Linked DNA regions of Ovis aries. The protein of the gene in region 2 purifies or fractionates together with the protein of the main gene of each other region. This does not show direct contact. Links are inferred from orthologs where the notes say so. Each region holds a gene or a part of one and is shown on either strand. Other genes may lie near its edges.

Region 1 (5,341 bases), on a different chromosome or scaffold from region 2:
GTCCTGTGTACCCTGGAGTCCATGAGTTTGCACTTTCTTTCTCCCCTCCTCCCCCACGCCATGCCTTCGAACAGCTTTATTTTGTACAGTCACCTGAACACTCTGTAAGCACTCACTAACCTGTATTTTCTAGAGACTCTCAGGATGGTCCTTCTTAGGAAATTAAATCTGAAATTTTAATTGAGCAGCAGTGTCCTATTAGCAATGGTGTAGGGAATGGTGTTCAGAAAAAAATCAATCGTATATTATTTTACTTGGCAGAAAATTAAAATACCCAAGTGGGAGTTTACTAAAGAAATTACAGCTGACCCTTGAATATAGCTTTCTTGGCAAGTTCTGCCAAATTACATGCTATTATGTGGTGCTTATTATGAATTCCTCCTCCCCAAACATAACATCTGCTTCCCCTCGGTAATGGAGTGTGTTATCATATCTAATTCATCTAATTCTCTAGTTCATCTTAGTGGAATATCAGATGTGGTAGATGCCTGGTTTTTTCCAAACATTATCTTAAATGTTAAGATACCTGTTAACTGGAGAAGGAAATGGCAACCTGCTCCAGTGTTCTTGCCTGGAGAATCCCAGGGACGGCGGAGCCTGGTGGGCTGCTGTCCATGGGGTCACACAGAGTCGGACATGACTGAAGTGACTTAGCAGCAGCAGCAGCAGTGTACCTATTAATATCTATCTACTGTGGTTAAGTAAGAACAAAATTGAATAACCTTCTTTTTGTACTGAGTCAGTGAGAAGCTATTTCATTGGGGAGCTTGGAGAGGTTTACATAGCTCATTTATAAAAAGGAATAGCGTCTAAGGGGGAGAAGGCAATGGCACCCCACTCCAGTACTCTTGCCTGGAAAATCCCATGGACGGAGGAGCCTGCTAGGCTGCAGTCCATGGGGTTGCGAAGAGTCGGACATGACTGAGCGATTTCACTTTCACTTTTTACTTTCATGCATTGGAGAAGGAAATGGCAACCCACTCCAGTGTTCTTGCCTGGAAAATCCCAGGGATGGCAGAGCCTGGTGGGCTGCCATCTATGGGGTCGCACAGAGTCGGACATGACTGAAGCGACGCAGCAGCAGCAGCAGCAGCAGCAGCAGCATCTTAGGGATCTGGTTGAAGAGTGTCCATAATGATTGCTTCAAAAAATCTGGAGTTAGATCCAGCCTCAGTTTTCTACTCTTAGTACAGTTTTGTGGCACATTTAAAAAATTCTTTTCTTAGTGGAATGAGAAGAGTTGGTCATCAAACTTTGTAACATACATAGTCTGGGCTCCTGAGGTTGGTGTCCAGTTAAAATTCCACTCAGCCTGGCCTGGATCTCTCGCTGAAGAATTTCAGTTTTCACACAGAAATAATGATCTAAAACATGAGCTTACTCTTCCTGCTCCTTGAATGTAATAAATGCCATTAAAGCTAAAACCTGAACAACGGAAAAGATGATTGAAGTCTGCTGAGTGACCTACTTTTCTTCACCAGTGGTTGTCTTAGCCCGGTGCTGTTCTGTCCGAGAGACGTTTGGAAGTGCCCCAAAGGTCCATAGAGTACGGTTGGCGGGCACGTGTCGTGACCTCAGAGGCCTCTCTGAAGGCCTCTCAGATGTTCTGTGCTGAGCACCGCAGAGTGGGCTCTTCCCTGAGTGGTCTCCTCTGACCCCCTATTCCCCCACACCTGTCTCTCAATCCAGGGCCTGAGTTTCCCGACTGCGGCTCTTCCTGAATGCCGTTGCTGTGGTCATCTCATCCACTCAGGCCTCCCTAGACCTGCTCTCTCGTAGCCACATTCCACACCCAGAGCGTCCTTCCTTCAGGGTCCTGTGTCCCTGAGGCCAGCACGCGGGGGCCGCTCCCTGACCCAGCCCAGGGCTGGATGCTGGGCACACGGTGGGAGTGAGGCCCGGGCGTGGTCCTCAGGGGACTTGGCTTCCTCGGGGGAGACAGTGGAGGAGGGCAGCTGCCCAGCCCGGGGAGAGACGCAGCCACGGTGGCGGGGCTGGGTCACCGGTCCAGGGTGAGGCAGTAAGGTGGACGTGATGGCTTCCTGTTTCATCACCTCTCAGGAAACTTAGGGCCTCTTGGCAGCTCATTGGGTATGGCTGTTTTGTCCTTGTGATTACATTAGTAATTTCTTTCTCATGATTTGTATGTTGTCTTTCATACTGTGCCCCTCATCCAGTCTGAGGAGGACCTGGTATCTGAGATCAGCCATAAAAATCCTGCTTCTTAAGATGGAAAGAATTGACTTTTCTTTAGTAAAGCAATGGAAGCAGAACAAAAACCTTTTAAGCAAAAGAACCATCATCACTCGTCTGTTTACTGACTTAGCAGACAGTTGAGTGCCGGCCCCCATCTCGAGGCAGAGAGCTCCTGTTTGGGTGGCAGAGGCAGACAGGTGCTGGCCCCAGTCAGCCTCCCTGGGGCTCCCCACCTGGGCCCCGGTTCACAGACCGCAGGCCGCACAGACGGGCTGCCGAGCCCATCGGGGCTGCTGCGGCTTGGGAGGGAGCCCCTGACTCTCCCTCTGCCTGTGGCTTAGGCATGAAGGGCGCCGGTGTGCTCGTGTCTTCCAGGTGTACCTCGAACGGCTTCTCACATACGCAGAGATTGACATCTGTCCGGCCAACTGGAAGCGGATTGTTCTGGGGGCCATCCTGCTGGCCTCCAAGGTGTGGGACGACCAGGCGGTGTGGAACGTGGACTACTGCCAGATCCTGAAGGACATAACGGTGGAGGATATGTGAGTGTGGGCGGGGGCATCCCCGCGTGGACGAGCTCGGGGTGGAGTGAGGGACGGTGGCTGTGCGTCTGTTGTAAGCTGGCCGAGCAAGGACACGGTTGCGGATAGGATTTACAAAAACCTATGCGTCTCGTCCTTTGGGTGCCAGACAGGTACTGGTAACGCTTTCTGGCTTGTGAATCTAGTCTCTGAAACCATGTTCCAGGGAACCTTGCTTTACTTTCCTGCTTCCCGTCTGCGGTGGGGTTCATCCCCACTACTCACTGCAGACTGACAACAGGCAGCAGACTGGCTAAAGTGCTCCCTGCCGCTGCTCAGTTCCAGAGGAGATTGTCACTGTTTCTGTCTCCTGTTGCAAGTTCACTTGGCTTCACATGTACTTTCTGTCCCTCAGGGTCCTCCTGTGTTTCCCGGTCAGGCCGCTTCTCTCTCAGGGCACCGTTCTGGGTTCACCTGCAGCCCGGGGCCTGGGGTCCCTGGGGCTGGGTGTTCAGGAAGTGGGGTCAGGACGAAAGGAGCTGCTTTGGGAACAGTCAGGATGAACTTCTGCATCGCTGACCCAATTCTTACTGACGTTTTTCTCATCTTTTTGTCCAGCTTCCTCAAGCCGGACAACCTCCTCCTGCTAGAGGAGGTTCCACTGTGTCCCAGCCGCCATCTGTGTCCCTGGGCCCCACCTGCCCCTTCCTCTGGTTGCTGGCGGGCTGGGCATCCCCTCGCCTTTGTCTGCCCTGGGGACACTTGTTTATGTTCATGCATCTCTTGCCACAGAGCCTTTTCCTCCTACAGACCAGTAAGACTCTCTCCTGCGCCTGTTATTCTTTATCCTTCAAAAGTAAGAAAAATACGAAGTTTTTGATAGCAAGAATAAGAAAATTAAATTTTTTTTAAGTCTTGATTTTATTTCAAGCTGAAAACAGTTATTAAGAGAATTGTCATACAGACCTTAAGTTGGTCCCTTCCACCTTTTGGCTGCTGTGAATAACTCTGCTGTAAACGTGAACATCACTGTGCAGATTCCTCCCTGAGGCCCTACTCTTTGGAGTCTGTGCCCAGGAGTGGGATTGCCGCTTAGTAGCTGGTGTTTAAAAGTAGGCTCATTTTTCTAGAAAAGTCAATAGGCCATGAGGTGATGAAACAACTCTTTCTTCCATTGTAGAGCCCCATTCACAAGTTGCTAAGTGGCATCAATTCACCTGGGTTTCTTTACAGTAATGACCTAATGTAACTAATACTTCTGAAATGTTTTTATTTATTGGCTTGAATTTACTTATTATAAAATTTTACATCAGAACTATTTACTGGTAATTAGGCTTCCCAGGTGGTGCTAATGGTAAAGAATCCACCTGGCAGTGCAGGAGATGAAAGAGACTCAGGTTCGATGTCCTGGGCAAGATTTCCTGGAGAAGGAAATGGCAACCCACTCTAGTATTCTTACCTGGAGAATCCCATAGACAAGGAGCCAGGCGGGCTAAAGTTCATGGGGATGCAAAGAGTCAGACATGATGATTTATCATATAACAAGCTGTCAGATGTCCCTGGAGGGGGTACTGCTATCGTTTGGAAATTCAAATTTGGGGGATTATTTTTATTTTCTAGGTATTACCCTAGTTTGAAAACACAGCCACTCTAAAATCTTTATTTCCCCCAAAACTTAAACAGAAACATTAAAAAATAAATATTCAGGAAGGCTGTTTTTCCTCTAAGGAACCTGGGGAAACTGCCATCTTGTTTGAAACCAGATTCCTCTCGACTTCAATCCTGGTTATACCCTCAACAAAAGGCAGTGGTGTCTAGATAACCGTCTGGGGTGGGAATAGCTTCTCTGGCTCTCTTACTGGTGTTTCTTCCTGGCATTGGAGAATGGGAGCTGCAGTGTCACCACGTGGCCACTAGGTGGCAGTGTGTCCACAGGCAGCTCACAAGTCTTGTTAAGCCCTTACCTGGATTCTTGAATTTCACAGGATGATCTCCTAAGTCTGACTTAGAGCAGGCATAAATAAAAGTGATTAGAAGAGTAGATTTTGACATCACATATACATTTGGGGCTTAATTCCTTTCTCAAAGCTGCATGGAAGCAGCCCTTCTGATTAGATGAACTGAATTAAATGTCTTGATCTTTCCCTCCAAAGCGCTCAGGCCTTCGATAACAACTTGCTAAGGTTTCTTAGCTATCTTTTGCCTGAGAGCTGCTGTCAGGGAACCAGCCACTACCGCCTCCCAGACTTAGCTCAGCTGTCACTTCCAGGAAGCTTTCCCTGATCCCTCCACTCAGGCTAATCTTGGTCCACTCCATTCAATAATTAATAACAGTAATTATTGAGCACCAGCTGTGTGTCAGGTGCTGTGCTGGGGCCAGGCTGCAGTCAGATGTCACGGATTATGGCTCGGAGGAGGGGAGGAGGGGAGACTGTGATAAACGACAGAAGTGAGTCCAGGGTGCTGCCCGGAGGGTGGCCTAGAGCTGAGAGTCTGGCCCAGGACCAGTGCTGACAGACAGACCTCTCCCTGAGAATGCTTCTCCCCCACCACTGACTGCTAAGAGCTGGGCCTGCTGATGGGGGACGTTTTACAATGTGTTCTGGCTTCATCCAGCTAGAAGG
Region 2 (5,341 bases):
TTTGAGCAAATTCTGGGAGATAGTAAAGGACAGGAAAGCCTGGCATGCTGCAGTTCATGGGGTCGCAGAGTTGGACAAGACTTACTGACTGAACAATAGCAACAACAAAAAAAGAAAGAAAGAGAAATGCGGAATATATCAGACAAGTCTCAACTTTCCTTGAAAAGAATTTTAGCAAATCCCTTATTTCAAATCACAATTAAATATCAAAATCCCCCCATTGTTATTTATACTATGATGTACACATTGACTTTTAAGGTTATATGACCCCTAGTAGCAGCAAACACACCCAACACCCAATCCTGGTTTCTAAATACTATGCTTCAGTAAAAGGAAACAGGGCTCTCTGGAGAAATGGCTGAATCTGGGTCTGGGGCTGGGAAAATACAAGATAAGCCAAGAGCAACTTGTAGGACAAGAAAGTACGGAAGTGCTTCAAAAACACTCCGCATAATAGGCTCTAGGTTCATCCACCTCGTTAGAATTGACTCAAATGCATTCCTTTTTATGGCTGAGTAGTATCCCATTATAACTATACAGCTTCTTTATCTATTCACCTGTCGATGGACGTCTAGCTTGCTTCCATGTCTTGGCTACTGTAAACAGTGCTGCAATGCATACTGGGGTACATGTGTCTTTTTCAGCCCATGGGAATTTGCAATATGACTGAAGTAACTCAAACTGAGGCTCAGTAATAACCTAGAGGGGTGGGAAGGGGATTCAAGAGGGAGGGGACACATGCACACCTATGGCTAATTCATGCTGATGTATGACAGAAATCAACCAATATTGTAAACTAATCACCAATCAACTAAAAATAATAAAAAATGTTTTTAATATTAAAAAAAAATTTTTTTAATATTTTTTGAAAAGGTATATGGGACAAATTGAGAGCAGCATTGAAACACAAACATTGCCATATGTAAAGCAGACAGCCAGTGGGGATTTGCTGTGCGACACAGGGAACTCAAAGCCAGGGCTCTGTGACAACCCAGAGGGGTGGGATGGGGTGGGAGGTGGGAGGGAGGCTCAAGAGGTGGGACATAGTGTATCAAAGGCTGATTCATGTTGATGTATGGCAGAAACCAGCACAATACTGTAAAGCAGTCATCCTTCAATCAAAAATAAGTAAGTAAATAATAAACATTTCAACAATTAAAAGGGGAATGAGACATCTCAAAAGGACACAGGGGCCAACCTAAAAGAGCTCCCAATGACCAATGACTAAAGCAGCAACAATCTGAGCAAGAAAAGAAATAATGCACGATTGGACAATAACTAGGATTGAAGATAAAACACAGAATAACTAGTTTAATTTGATTTTCATATAAACAGTGAATAAGTTTGCCTCATTGCAATATCTCAATGCCCATTTCTATATATCATGTAGGGTGACAATTAACATTATTGAGATGACTATACAGTAAAATGGGCTTCCCTGATGGCTCAGGTAGTAAGGAATCTGCTTGCAATGCAAGAGACCTAGGCTTGATTCCTGGGTCGGGAAGATCCCCTGCAGAAAGAAATGGCTACTCACTCCAGTATTCTTGTCTGGAGAATTCCATGGACAGAGGAGCCTGGCAGGCTACAGTCCATGGGGCCACACAGAATCTGACACAACTGAACAAATAATATCTGTAGTAAAATATATATATAATTCTCTTGCCATAAGAGAAGTTTAATCATTCTCAAAGATTCTCTTTTCATTTCTTCTAAATGATACTAAATCTAAAAGTTTTCCCAAGTGTTAGTGTTGTTTATGTGTGACCTAGACAGACACTACACTGCAATCATGGATAAGATTATAGGGACCAATCCGGGGAAACCCAGATAATCAATTCTCCTCAAAAAGGCTGCATTAACAATATTTATTTTCACTTCATTAACAACAACAACAACAAAAAAACCTGTGACACAAGATTTTCGTGGTATCCCACACTTTACTTAAATTGAAGCGTCAATATTCTAGCAGCTGACATTTCTTGCTCTTTTTTGACCATCATGGAATTTAATATTTAAAGTCTACGAAATGGAATATGCTTCTTAGCAAGATGACAGAATCAAAACTCTCTTAGCACTCTTCTCTCACCCTTTAAATTCTTAGACTATGTCATAAAGTTCTTCAGTGTGGGTTAAATCTGAAAATTACTGAATTTCCAAAGATCATAAGGCTTATTTTTTTTTTTAACAATGTTAAACGCAGGCCAGTCTTGGAAAGATGAGTTTCAATAAAATTCTTTACAGTCAAAAAGCAGCGATCATCTCAAACTTTATACCTTCTTCGGCCCAAAGGCAAGACTTGCTTTAATACAGTTTGACCTCAGAAAATTTCCTTGTGATGAATAAGATTTCTCTTTATAAGATCAATTTCAATGTCTAGCTCCTAATTTTAAAAATATTGACAACAAAAACCAACTGTAATAAGACAAGTGAACAACTTTTAACAAGTATTCTGAAATGAAATTCTTTGTGAATCTGTCAAATTCAAAACTATCCTTACTGCCTGCCAACACAGTAAAGTTTGAAAATCCTCTCCAAGAGTTTGAATTACCCAAGGAGTTTAAATGACAAATTCCTCTAACTGGAAACAGCTAGGGGAAAAAAAAATTTTTCCCCAAAATAAGTTTAATCATTTCTCACTGGCTTGCTGGGTGCCTGTGAATCAAGAGTTTGTATATGTAGTTGGCACTTGCGCAGGCCTGCACACTCTCTTCCAGAAAACGCTGAACCACCTAAGGAGAGAATGCATAATAAGGCACTGATAAAGCCACCTGCTGGCTCCCTGCACATTGTCCCACTTGCTCTGCTCACCCGTTAGTAAGTGAGAAGATCGCACTCACCGAGCTGGGGCTGGAGTGCCGCCGAACTTTAGGAGACTCTTTGCCAGCGGAGGAGCTCTTATTAAAGTTAATGCAAGCATTGTTCTCAGAATGCACCCTCTTCACTTGATTAGCGGGTTTCTCAAATGGGTCAAAAGTGCTCTGTGTCCTCTGAACCCTGACTTTCTTATCCTCAGGAATTGTGTCCAGGGGTTTGATCACTGAGTCCATTCCTGGGCAGTTTCGTGTGGACATCTTTGTGACACATATCTGGCGGAAAAAAAGAGAGAGAGAGAGAAATTAAACTCAGATCACTCCACTGAAACTTTAATATCACTACACATGAGGATTTATTATCTTACAAAGCATGCCCATTTTTATCTCAGGAAATAACCCCAAAGGCTATATTCTAAAAGCTACACCAGCTTAAACCACAATATGAAAAACTCGTCACCATCATTCCACTTACCATACTTGCTGGGGGCTTCCCTGGTGGCTCAGATGGTAAAGAATCTGCCTGCAATGCAGGAGACCCAGGTTCAATCTTTGGGTTGGGAAGATCCCCTAGAGAAGGGAATGGCTACCTACTCCAGTATTCTTGCCTGGAGAAATCCACGGACAGAGGAGCCTGGCCGGGTCACAAAGAGTCGGTCGGACAGACTGAGCAACTAACACTTCGCTATATTATATTATAATTATATTATATTATAATTATATTCACTGAGGGCTGACACTGAAAACGTTATCCCTAAAACAGGAAGCTTAGCACCCAGGCTGCTAGTGCCCTGAGGTGGTTCTCGACCTTGTCATTTATTTTACCACCTGACTGCAAGTGGGATATTTCCGAATCACTAAAAGATGGATAATTTGCCTTAATTTTTTTTTAAAAAATCGGTTCAATTAATTCAGAAGGGCATTTTCATTGATGGGCCATCCCAGAAGCAACTAACATGGCTACAGGAAAACATCACTATGTTCTTCAAAACCTTAAAGCTTGAATACATGTTTAAAATCTATCCCCATCTTGATTTCATCTCTAAACTAGAATGGAGCATATAAAAGGGCTAACGGTTAGAGATACTGAAAGGTGAAAGCAATGTTGTTTCTAATACTAAAACTAACAGATGAAAACGAAAAATAATACCACGTAGAAAAACACGGAATGACACTCATTTCAAAATGCTGTATGTATTACTTCACTACACCCCTACTTCCTTCTCAATTTTGCTCATTCTCTTCCAGCATAATCTGAACGAGTCTTGCTTTATTTTAGTCTCTCTGATTTTTGCTCCTTGCTTTCCACTGTATGTTCCAGCTCTCTCATTCTCCATATATTCTCAAGACATTTTTACTTAGTAACTTCATGGCCTCTAGCTTGTCCGTAAAGTAAGGTAACTTTATCATGCAGTCTAAAGAAAAGATACCTCTGATTTGCTTTTAAAGTTTTATTTTTTCTTCTTGTGAAAAGTTTCCACATTCCTATTTAAGAAAGCAGGAAAACAGACGGTATCTAAGAAAATCTCATATTGTTAAAGCAAACATTTAAGTGTCTGAGTAATACATATGGGATGATTCCATACTGGCAAGAAATGAAACTATGTGTATGGATATAAAAATATATATATATATATACATACATACATATATATATATGACAGATAGAGCTATTTGTATGTGTGTGTATGAGCACATATTAATATAAAGGTATACAAGGAAATACACCAAAGTGTTAAGATACCTCCAGATAAGCAGAACTGAAGGGGCAAAGGGTAAGATTACTTACTTTTTACATACCCCTGTATTTTTTGAACTGTATAATAAACATGCTTGACATGCAATTTTTTGAAAATAGTAAAGTGTATAATTAAATTATTTCAAGTTATTGAAGCAAAATTTGGATTAAATACTAAGTATCAACTCTGTCCTATGAGTGTATCTGAACTACCAAGCATAGGTTCAATTTTAATTAAATCCAATAAGAAGGAGATCAACCCACTTTTTACAGTATCACAAAACTGCTGAAGATGTCTTTAAAAGACAAGGCAGAGTCCTCCTGATCAAGAACTAACGATTTATCACAATATTAAACGCATTCAGTTTTTTTTAAGAGTTCATGTGTTCCTCATACAGATATGAAAGCAAGAAACAGTAGATGTGATATGGATATGAAACCACTCGTCTCCCCGAGGCAGCTGAACTGCAACATAAAAACACATGAACCTGAGAAGTCAATGAACTCTAAATATAAGAAATCTAGAGAAAATAGCACGAAGGTACATCAAAATCAAATTGCTTAAAACCAGTAAAAAAGAGAGTATCTTAAAAAGGGGGCAGAGGGAAAAAAGTACTTTAAAAGAGAAGACAGGAAATATTTGGAAACTAAACAATAGGGGAATTAGAAAGTCTCTTGAATTAGTTGAATAAAATCTCTTGAACAGAATATCAAAATAGATACAGCTCAAATAGCATTTTAACTGTAGGAAAATTTATAATAGTAAATGCATTGAGCAGGAAAAAAAAAG

Evidence for each region. The genes of interacting proteins can lie anywhere in the genome.
Region 1: the proteins of CDK14 (region 2) and CCNY purify together in Homo sapiens (affinity purification with western blotting; 3 studies listed by BioGRID and IntAct, with this or other methods). This does not show direct contact. The link is inferred for Ovis aries from reciprocal best matches to the Homo sapiens genes CDK14 and CCNY.

Annotation. Positions count from the first base shown.
Region 1 is NC_056066.1:17,428,601-17,433,941, reverse strand, and holds part of CCNY (cyclin-Y), read left to right. Parts: intron 1-2,571; coding exon 2,572-2,738; intron 2,739-5,341. UniProt on the Homo sapiens protein: Positive regulatory subunit of the cyclin-dependent kinases CDK14/PFTK1 and CDK16.
Region 2 is NC_056057.1:8,880,241-8,885,581, reverse strand, and holds part of CDK14 (cyclin-dependent kinase 14), read right to left. Parts: intron 3,090-5,341; coding exon 2,841-3,089; intron 1-2,840. UniProt on the Homo sapiens protein: Serine/threonine-protein kinase involved in the control of the eukaryotic cell cycle, whose activity is controlled by an associated cyclin.